Linked DNA regions of Astyanax mexicanus. The protein of the gene in region 1 purifies or fractionates together with the protein of each later gene. This does not show direct contact. Links are inferred from orthologs where the notes say so. Each region holds a gene or a part of one and is shown on either strand. Other genes may lie near its edges.

Region 1 (3,752 bases):
CTGAACTGTAAAGAACAGTGTTTTTTATATTCAGTTCTGGGGCTCTGCAAAGTTTCAGGTGAATAAAGCATAAAATCTGTTATTGTCACATTGCACACAGAAATATTTATTTGGTCATTTTTATTACAAATATATAATCCCAATATCGATAAACGCTACATAAAAATTGATACGGATGCCCACAATGGCTGTCTGTAGCTACAAAAATAAAAAAATATATTTTCCAGTTACTGCAATGTGCCCTAGTTCTTCACTTAATGTGGTTTGCTCTCTTTAAAGGGCCATAAAGTTATATGTTAATTTCGTGGCTTGAGTGCTTTAGAGCTCTACAGATCTGCAAAAGGGGTCACCATTTCTACAGATTTCATCAGTTTAGCTACTGAGAAGAGTTAAATGAGGTGTTCTTTAGTATTGTTTAAACCCTAGAAACCTGCCACCACTCCAACCCCTTGCAGAAAAGAACAGTAACCCCTGGTCTAGAATGACCAAAATATGAGTAAGAGCATAACAAAGGACACTACCTTTTCCACGCTTTCAGCCTCTTTAAACAGCACAAAGCCAAAGCCTCTGGATCGTCCAGTCATAGGATCTAGTTTTAAAGTGCAGTCTACAACCTCCCCAAACTTGGAGAAGTAATCTTTAAGGTCCTTCTTTGTTGTGTCCCAGCTCAACCCTCCAACAAACATCTTCCTGTAAAAAGACAAAAGAGAATATGGCAAATGCTGTTTCCATATTAATATACTTTTAATAGGGGAGGCAGGCCTTTAAGCTATTTCAATTTTATTTTCTTTAACTTTAGGTGATTGAGAAAGGGGATACACAGTTATGCTACTCTTATTCTGTCAGTGCTGTAAAAAAAAAGCTAATTATGTGTAAAAAAAAAAAAGTGTAAATAAAATGTTTAACCACTTATTTACAAGCCTGTCAAGTCAAATTAAATCAGGTTCATTGCTAAATGACATTAACACAGGTGTAAAAGTGAACATCTTTGGTGCCTAGACCCTCACAATTAAAATAAAAATACAATAATAAAAAAAAACAATAAAAAACCATGTATAACCAAAAACTTAACACTATGCATACATTATTATGTTTCCAACATTTAAATAAAAAATAAGGTATTTTTTGTGTCCAAAAGAAGAATAGGGTGCAAGAATAGAGTGAAATGTTTGTTTCTTCTTCTTTGTCCTTTTTTTTAATGACCACAGATAAAAAGAAAGATTGCACAAGGCTGACTGTAAGGAGAGCAAATTTCAACATAAACTAAAAGCCAAATCCCAGAGGAAAGAGGAAATTTAATCATCCAAAAACAGCAAAACAGGACACATAGTAACAGACATTATGGTTTTATTATATATGAGAAACACAAAATTCACAAAACAAAATAAAACGTGTCTGTCAATGAAATGTTTTAATCTAAGTTTGCGTTATTAACAAATAACAAATAAATTAAAAAAGTAAAAATAGCTTGAAATTCAGGCGTAAATTCAGACTGGTCAAATTAGCCTACATTTACGCATTTTTGCAAAAAAAAAAAACCCGTGTAAAAAATCTAATTATCATAGCGTGTAATGCAGAGATTAGGTTATCTAGCTGCGCCTGTGTTTTAGCAACGACTTCACTGGCGTTTCCAACGCCGGTAAAATAAAGCTAACTAACGTTAGCTTAGTTAACTAGCTTTAGTTAATTACTTTCCTGCTAATTAACGTTATATAAAAGTTTTCCCATTATTAACGACGCTGTTTAACAGAGTTTGTGGGGGATAGTTTGCAAATATATACACAATATACGCATTAAATTAATAATAATTCGTTTCATTGGGTAGAAACTTGCTAGCATTCGCTATCTAGCTTTGCAATGAATGCAATGTGGACAATCCAGTTCCAGAAAGTAAAGATCCTTTCCGGGATTTTGTTCTAACTAGGGCAGCCCTGCTGCAACGGAAACGAATTCTGCAGGGCTGACCAGGCAGTTGGAGCAAAATCCTGGAGTAGATTTTCACTTTTTGGGAAAAGTGAGACTGGTTGACTGGTGGACTGGTTTAACAGCTTTGGTTGGACAAGTGGCTGTATAAGCACACCGAGACTCTTTGTAGAGGTTTGTAGTAAAAATAAAGACTTTTAAGTACTGATATATTTAATCTCTAATACTAAATTTACAGTAAGTACCGAATAATTAGCTTGCAAATGTAGCTGGACTATAAAAAAAATCCTGGAGCAGATTTTTCACTTTCTGGAACATTTTTTTTTACTATCTTTTTTTTTTTTTTTTTTTTTTAGCTAAAATGACAACTGGCTCAGATATAATCGCATACACACCCCAAAGAGAGGCTTAAGATGCAAATACAGACTTTAAAGTACAGATATTTCTAATTATTTAAGAATAAATGTCATATTATTAGCTATTATTAGGCAGATAGCTAGCGTTAACTAGCTATAGCTAGCCTACATGCTCAGCCACCATACAAAGCTCAGGCTTCTCCACCACCTCTATCATGAGCCCCACTTCTTACCCTTCATCCTCCTCATTTTTACTGGCATCAATCTTCGATCCTTCAGCGTCTCCTGATACACCGGCATGTATCTGTTCTTCTCCACCCCCCTCCCCGTCCTCCTCCATCTTCATACTCGGGTCTTCCAGGCCAAACAGCTCCTCCGACATGTTTGGTCGTTTTCTACGGGAATCTGGCAACTAACTACTAATGTTTCTGCTAACCTGCTTCTATACTAATCACCAGCAAACTCAGCTAACACAGATTTGCATCTACTCTCTTAGAAAATAATAAAAACTGATTTAAATCCCGGCAGGAATGTAGCCTAGCTAACCTATAGTTGATCGGTTTTGCCAGCTGTCAACTCCTCGTTGCCACACACCGGTGTCCTGACGAATTGTGTTACCCCGCCAAACCGTGCTACCCTAGTGTGTACTGTATATACAGCTCTGGAAAAAATAAGAGACCACTTCAAAATGATAAGTTTCTTTGATTTTACCAAATTATGAAGCTGGATGATCACAAGCCATTAAACCAAGCTGAACTGCTTGAACAAGAGTGGCATAAAAACTGGTCGAGGAGAACATTCCAAGAAAATACAATAAAACCAGGGTTATTCCACCAAATATTGATTTCTGAACTCTTAAAACGTTATGAACGATATGAACTTTGAATTATTTAGGATCTGAAAGCTCTGCATATTTTTGTTATTTCAGCCATTTCTCATTTTCTGCAAATAAATGATCTAAATGACAGTATTTTTATTTGGAATTTGGGAGACATATTGTCCGTAGTTTAACGAAAAAAAAAAACAACTATGTTAATTTTACTCAAATATATACTTATAAATAGCAAAATCAGAGAAACTGATTTAGAAACTGAAGTGGTCTCTTAACTTTTTCTAGAGCTGTAGATAGATACATAGATGGAGGGGTAGATTTTTATTGATGGCTTTGGGAGGGTTCCCTCTGCGAAATAAATTTTCCAGCAGCATCATTACAGTAGACACAAAAATAGATAAAATAAAAAATATAAAAAAGCTACGAAAAAAAGTAAGAAAAGAAGAAAAGGTGTTGCATCATTGCATATTTGGATAAAAATAAATTAAAATATGTTTATTTTTAAAAAAGTATCATATTAGGTATATTTAGAAAGCCTACATTAATGTATCAGGGTAAAGTTAATGCAATTTAATTAAGATTAGTATTTGTATGTATACGTTTTATTATTATCAACTGCCATGTGAAATGCTTTTTAAAAT
Region 2 (3,752 bases), on another chromosome or scaffold:
CACGAGTGAACGCTGAAACAATGCCCCGACCATCCCTTCCCGATCATCTTCTCCCACACTGGGTCATTATCAGAATACAACACCTAATCGCCCCCCAAAAACATGTGATCGGCTATATGACACGCTGCAGGTCTGAACATAAACGCCCACTGCCCACCCCACCGTCATGAGACAGCTGCTACTCTCCTGTTGTCCCTTTGAGCCAAAGGGATGCTTTCACAGCCATACGCGCGTACAACTGCCAAAACAGTGTGTGAGGAACAATGACAAGTCATGATGATTGAGACTAGAGGTTACACATCTGATCAATGTCTTGAGTTTGCAGCCTGTTCAGAAGGATACAAAAGCACTGCAAGGTAAGGTTTTATGAGCCAAGGATGACCCTCAACTGGCTTACACTTTATTAAAAGAGACATGTGAGGGTGTTTTTCCTACAAGTAAAGCATTGGCTCTTAAAGCCAATACATATTAAAAGTGGCACTTCTGGGATGACGAAGGCCATTACTCCCATCCTTACCGGCTGTATTTGCTTTCTTCAATAAATTCAAAGTAGCCCCTTCCATGTTCCTCCCGGCGTCTCTTAACACCCTTCTTATTCTTCTGATCAGCATTGTTGTCTTTGTCCGCATCTCCTTTGGAAATAAAACAAAGAGTGATGAAATGCTCGTGCGTGTTGGACCCTGGTTTTAAGGGTGGTCCCACACGACTAGGAGTTCTCGGACTCCTCCCGCCCCAGTTACACTCAAGTTGACCACCTCTGATCAGACAGAATATGTATTTAAAATAATATAAAAATGTATAAAAAGATGTGCATTCATGCTGTGTGTACTACTGTTAACTGGCCCATTCGGGGAGAATGAACCAAATGTGAGATCTTAACGTGTCTCTTCTTCACATGTGAGTGATGAGGATGAACAGCAGCTTATATTTAGCTACGCTAGTCCCTTTTACTCATACTGCTGAATGAACACGATCAAATATGTGTGGGGACACATTAAACTAGATAAAATCAACTTCGACGGCCACAAAAACGGCACAGCCATTAACCTAACCTAACTAGTTAACGTAACTCACAGTAAACGATTCTTGACCTTCTTGCTTCATTACAAATTAGCAGTTAGCTTAACTCTGCTAATACAGCCAGCTCCTTCACGGCCCCGGCTAAGCCACTTCAGACTATGCTAAGCTACAAAAACCCAAATTAAAACGAACAATTCCCTGCTCGGGTTAAATAATTAAACAATAGCCACTAAATCACCACATTACCTTGAGTTTAGCTTTAGCTTTCTAGCTAGCTATATAAGATCGTATTAACGTTATGTTACATACGGATTCGTGGAGATCGCTCGTCGCAGCAGCGCCAGGGCCTAGTTAGCTAACCCGCGCGGCCCGCCGGATAACGTTACCCTCTAACCGAAATATATCGGAGAGGCTAACAAAAGACCCTATAACCTGCTATTAATCCCCGTGTTGGACGTAGAAACGCGAAAAAACAATTCGTGCACAGTTTTGTAGCCAAATATTAAATTTCTAGTACTGCAAAAACCGGCAACCTATTGTTTCGGTCGGACAGCTCTAGCTAACGGGCTAACGCTAACTAGCCTAGCCTGACTAGCTCATAAAACAATAACGACAGATGGGGTTCGCACACGACCGCTGAGAGGAAACAAAAGCTACAGACGAGCTGACTATTCGAGCCAAAAACGACTATACTGATACTAAAATACCAAATAAACCAACCAAACTCCTTACACAACGAACTACCTAAATAATTCATTAAAATCGAACCTGCTTTTTTTCCTCTCAATATCTAACAAGCCGGTAACTATCTATCTACTAGCTCAGTCTACAGGGCGCTAAAGCTGCAGAGTGTTGCTAGGTTAGCGGCAGTCCCGGCCGGCGGACATTAATTAGCTGGTTGGCTAGGTTAAACTACGAGCTTCAGAATCGGCTCCTGATGCACTCACCCTCTGTTGGCTGGGACTCTTGCTCACCGTCTTCATCACCGATCTTATCTGCCTCGTCTTCATCCTCGTCGTCGTCTTCCAGCGCCTTGTCCATGTCGACCGCGGCGTCTCCGTCGTCCTCCTCGTCTTCGGCCATTTCGTCGTCCTGGCCGAGCTCGTCGAAGTCGGCCGCTGCGGCCTCCTCATCCGCGCCGCCTCCGTTCTCCCCCTCGTCGGCCTCCATGCTCTCGCCCCCTTCCTCACCCATCAGCTCCGGTTCGAGCTCGGCGCTGTTGTCCTCGGCCCCGTTCTCCTCGCCGTCCTGCTCTCCTCCAGCCTGGGCCTCGGCGTCGAGCGCGGCCTGCAGCCGGTCCATCAGCTCGGCCTTCAGCCCCTTGTCTGAAAGCTGGCGCTTCTTCAGCTCGTCCTTCAGCTCGTTCACTTTCAGCTTCTTCACGTTAATCGCACTCATATCTGCAGCCTTAAAAAAAATCACGATTACTCACAGAATTCACTAGTATAAAACAGTAACGCGGAACGCGCGCTCTCTCGGATGGTTCTTCTTCAGGACGAGGCGATTCAGAAAGAGCTGCTGGGATTCACTTCAGCTGCGCCAAAGCCGCGGTGCTTCTGGACGGAGCCTACCCTCATAAACCCCTCCCGCCCGGAAAACGGGGGAGGAGCGGTAACACCCAAGGTGACATCAGCTCAGAGTGTACAATTACAATTACACACACACACACACACACACACACACAGAGCGTAAAATCAAGGAGACATGAAATCACCTAATAGATCATACACATTAATCAGTATGTAATAAATCAAAACCAGCTGCGTGACATACAATATAAAATATAACTCACTTTAGACACGTTTACATTAACCTGTGTGTAACTGGGCCACTCAGCGAACGATAAAGGACAATGTGTGACATTCAACCTGTGTAATTTATTCACTGTAGTATTTTTAGCTGATATTTTGGTTAGTTCTTTTGTAACATTATCATTATTTAATTCAAAATCACTGTTTCTATTAATAACATGGTTATTTTAAAAAAAATCCTAATGAATGTTTAAAACTTCTTTACTAAATAAAACTTTAACATTTAATTTGTTGCAGTATCACATATTGCAGAAGTATTGTAGCATTATTTTAGGGCTTGGAGGGGATTACAGTAGTTAAGCTGATTCAGTAGCAGTAGGTGTGTGTTAAAGATGGTCTACATGGTCTATGAGTACAGAGGATTCTTTTTTTTACTTCTTTAATGAATGAACAGATAAAAAAAAATAGAAATGAAGCTTAAAACAGACAAAACCTCCACACACACACACATTTTGCTCAACCATTCAGCACCAAAATAAACATTATATCTGCAGTAGGGGTATGTCTTATCATACACAATAATATTGTCTTAATTTTAAAACAATGACAAAATCCATATTGTGAAACTAGCTTTAGTCTGTCTTAAAAGCAACCTATTTTGTATTTGTTTTGCTATTTACTGTAAAACTTTAATGTTATTTTTTATATATTTTTATGTTTGCAGTTTATGCGCATGCACAAAATATTCTCCACAGTAGTATTTTGGTAGCTAATTTTATTGTTGTAGTAGCACATATCACAGAAACACTCTGAATTATTGTAACATTATTTTTAGGGCCATGTTTCCCTAACCTAATTCGGAGCCCTTATTTCTTGGAGGGGTTTTACAGTAGTTAAACTGATTCAGTAGTAGTAGGTGTGTCTTAAAGATGGTCTACATACTACCAAAATATTATCTTTAGTAGTAATATTATTAGTATT
Region 3 (3,752 bases), on another chromosome or scaffold:
ATTAAACTCCCGCAGGGCATCAATTGCCCTCTCATCTAGGTCAGCATAAGCCACCAAACCTGCAGCACACAAACATACACTCAATAAACTTGCACCCAGTAGACTTTAAGACCAAGCAGATTTGTTGCAATAATATGTTTATCACTCTGGCTAGTTTGAATAAGGTGTCAAGACCGCTTGCAACAATATTTTCTTAAACTGATCATATCTATAGCGCAAAACATTACACATATATATTGTATTGGAGAACTTACCAGTCTGAAAGATGTTGTCCAGACTCTCTGCTACTTTTTGGGGCAGCCCAGCATCTATGAGCGTCTGGTAGTTCTCTGAGTGTCCGGCTGAGACATCCATGGGTTCTTCTTCCTCCTTTGCTGGAGCAGAGCTGCCATTCACTTCAGCAGCCATTCTTCTGAGAAAGAGACAAAACAGCATAAGCTACAATTAACATTTGAAATGAACCTTAAAATTTCCTCAGCCAAGAGAAATCTGAACTGTGATATATTTGGAGTTGTGATTGCCTCTTTAAATAAAGAAAAAATATGTAACCCCAACCCTCCTTGCAGATTTTCTTTACATTATAAAACATGCAAAACCAAAGTACTAGAAAATATTAGGAAGCTACCTACTCAACAATAATATAACCTTCAGTTATGCTATTTATGAATATACATAAAGTAGCCCCCACCACCACCACAAAGTAGCAAATAGTATAAAGCAGTGGTTCCCTCATTCAAATCAGAATAAGGACATATTAGCAAATTTAGATTTAGCAGGACAACTCGAGGCAAAAAAGCCACACTTATTTTTACACAATTTAAACTTAAAATCACACCAGCAATACAACAAGCAGTTAATTAAGAGCAATAACTTGGTTATTTCGTTTTACCAGTAAAAACTCTGCTATAGTGTGGTTTTTTTTACAAGTAACATTTAAACTTTCTGTTGCTCTATAGTGCAGGAAGAACTTATTTTGCCTCACACATTTCAGTCAATAAACAAGCGATTGTTTTGTATTATTACTTCTTGGAACATGCTGAACACTATCTAACTACAACGTGAAGGTTCAACGGGACCAGGTTGGTAACTATATAGTACATGCAGCTAGGATAGCTAACAAACTACCTAAATTTATGTAAGACATAAGGAGAAAAAAGTGATTCCGATATGATAGAACTAGATAATTAGGACGTTTACAAAATAATATCAAACTGTGAGAAACATGTGATCATATTTAGCTAATTAAACAAGCTGTGTGAGCAGTTGTGACCTGCTTTTGTTCATTGTTGAAATGCACACCACAGGCTGGAGGTAGGAGCTAAGCTTAAAGCTAAACAGCTAAGCTGTGAATGAAAACGGGTAACGTTATTATTTTAAAAGCGGGCTCTAATAACCTTTCAAAGTGTACGGAAACACAAAGTCTACAATGTTACACACTCAATTACACTCATGGAAGTTAGCTAACAGCCCAAAATGACATACTATGAGCTTGTGTTTATTTGCTAGCGCTAGGTAGCTGCGCTGTTGTGTTAAACTAGCAAGGCTAGGCTAAGCTAGTTAGCTCTCAAGCTAAACACACAACAGCGCTCCGCCCCCCTCGCGTGCTCCGGTTAAAACGAACTAAACAAAATCCGCTAAAATCAACTTTTGCGCAGCGTTAGCTTCTTTAAATCCGCTTATAAACGCGTTTAAACGCGTTATAGACCCAAATTTGCCGCACACGACCGAGTTTAATGTCCATTTAACAAACCGCGACCGGTCTAACCGCGGCTAGGCTAGACTAAGCTAAGCTAAGCTAGCAGAGAAAACAGGTTAAGCCCGGTTAGCTGTAGAATATTAGCATTAGCCGCGGCCTACCGCAGAATTCAAACCCCGCCGCCCGCCAAAATAATAAAACGCTAAAATCCGCCTCCGGGCCTCACCGTTCGGTTCGGTTCTGGTGTGGGTTCTCCTGCGAGGGCGGCTCCTCCAACCCGCGGCCGTGCTGCTGCTGCTGTGGGCGCTGGAAGCGGCGGTTAGAAGAGCGGAGCGAGGGGAGCTGCTGAGGGCTCTGTCCACGAGACAGACAGACGTGCGCGCGCTCTCTCACACACACACAGGCACGCGCACACACAGACACACAGAGAGCGCTCGCCACTTCCTCGCGCGCCGGCAGAGAGCCGCTTGCGTCAGAGGGCGCGCGCACGTCAGAGAAGGGGGGGGGGGGGGCATGGCTTCAAAGAGATCTTTTAGTATTAATGAAAAAGCAATGTAATGTAATGTAATGTAATTTTTAACATTGAATACAAAATCTCGTAGAGGTGCAATGTACAGTGCAATAGGGTAAATAGTATTCAGGGGTAATTTGAAACAAAAAAGTGCAACTATGAACTTGAGATTTAAAAAAAAATAGAGCTAGGGCAAATATAAACACAGAGGTGTGTATGAAGAACTAAACAATTTCAGATCAGTAACAGAAATCAAACCAAATTCAGCTGCAGATTTACTTGACTATTTTTCTATACTTTCTATTACAGTTACAATTATGATTTTCAGTAATATTCCTTATCAAACCTGAAACCTTTTTATATAATGCTTGAATAGAAATCCTCAAGATTTAGAGATTTTTTTTTAAATAACTAAAAGAAATATCAAAAAACATGGGGCTTTAAATAATGTACATACAAGAGTCTAAGGCAAATAAAGAAAAGAGGAGCAAATATTTAAACAAAAGTATTTTTGCAACAGGGGCCTTTTTTGAGAAAAGCTGAAGACATCTCTAGATCTGTTTATCCTGCTTTAACCCTTAATGCTCCTGATTCTACATGTAAGCTTATTTTTTTGGAAGAATAAGCAACACCAGCTTAAAAAAGACATTCTTTCAGGATTAAGAACAGAAGGAGGATTTGAACAATTTTCTGACCTTAACTACATTTTTTTAATAAAATGGCTCATGAAATGCTTAGATAACCCAAGTTCTTGCTGGTATTTTATACCACACAATATTTTCTTTGAAGTTTGGGGGTTTTAATTCCTGTTATCATGCAATTATTAATTTACTAACGCTACTATGTTTACATTACCAGGCTGAAGTGACTCAAATCAGATTTAGCTCAATGTGGCTCAGATCAGATTTTTTTATGGCTGTGTGAATGTGCCAAATTAGATTTTTTAAATCAGATTTGAGTCACTTTCATATGTGCTCCTAAATGGGATATATATCTGATCCATGGACATCTCCACAGTCTTTTTGTTGCTTACATTTATTTGTTACAAAATTATGTGTAAATTGAATTACTAATGTAAAAAAAAGGAATTAATAAAAATATGGAACAGAAAATACGAAACGGAAAATACATTATTCAGTGGTATAAAAAAGTTTGGGCACCCCTGATATTTTCATGATTTACCTTTATAAAACATTGGTTGTTCCAATTTTGTTTAAATGATTATTGGACACTTTCTGTAAATCCTATAAACTTCATTTCACTTCTCAAATATCACTGTGTTCATCTGCTATATGATATATTTCACAAAAATTACTGATCAGAACAACCAATGATTTATACAGAAAATTATTATTATTATTTATATGTAGGGCTGAATAAATATGCATAAATATACATCTATATATATGTATCCCCTAATTTCTTGATGTAAGTAATCATGCACTAACAGGATTGTAATTGAATATCGAGTATTTCGATTAAATAAGAATAAGTACAGAATCATTATAGTGTAAATAATTCAGTTTAGATTCACCCCCACCCTGT

Evidence for each region. The genes of interacting proteins can lie anywhere in the genome.
Region 2: the proteins of hnrnpd (region 1) and hnrnpub purify together in Homo sapiens (affinity purification with mass spectrometry; 4 studies listed by BioGRID and IntAct, with this or other methods). This does not show direct contact. The link is inferred for Astyanax mexicanus from reciprocal best matches to the Homo sapiens genes HNRNPD and HNRNPU.
Region 3: the proteins of hnrnpd (region 1) and heterogeneous nuclear ribonucleoprotein R purify together in Homo sapiens (affinity purification with mass spectrometry; 4 studies listed by BioGRID and IntAct, with this or other methods). This does not show direct contact. The link is inferred for Astyanax mexicanus from reciprocal best matches to the Homo sapiens genes HNRNPD and HNRNPR.

The regions. Positions count from the first base shown.
Region 1 is NC_064427.1:26,840,242-26,843,993, forward strand, and holds the start of hnrnpd (heterogeneous nuclear ribonucleoprotein D0), read right to left. Parts: upstream 2,899-3,752; 5' UTR 2,662-2,898; coding exon 2,513-2,661; intron 691-2,512; coding exon 522-690; intron 1-521. UniProt on the Homo sapiens protein: Binds with high affinity to RNA molecules that contain AU-rich elements (AREs) found within the 3'-UTR of many proto-oncogenes and cytokine mRNAs.
Region 2 is NC_064408.1:59,825,395-59,829,146, forward strand, and holds the start of hnrnpub (heterogeneous nuclear ribonucleoprotein Ub), read right to left. Parts: upstream 2,586-3,752; 5' UTR 2,419-2,585; coding exon 1,968-2,418; intron 633-1,967; coding exon 518-632; intron 1-517. UniProt on the Homo sapiens protein: DNA- and RNA-binding protein involved in several cellular processes such as nuclear chromatin organization, telomere-length regulation, transcription, mRNA alternative splicing and stability, Xist-mediated transcriptional silencing and mitotic cell progression.
Region 3 is NC_064409.1:73,208,017-73,211,768, reverse strand, and holds the start of heterogeneous nuclear ribonucleoprotein R, read right to left. Parts: upstream 2,128-3,752; 5' UTR 1,923-2,127; intron 413-1,922; exon of another isoform or gene 410-412; 5' UTR 409-409; coding exon 255-408; intron 60-254; coding exon 1-59. UniProt on the Homo sapiens protein: Component of ribonucleosomes, which are complexes of at least 20 other different heterogeneous nuclear ribonucleoproteins (hnRNP). hnRNP play an important role in processing of precursor mRNA in the nucleus.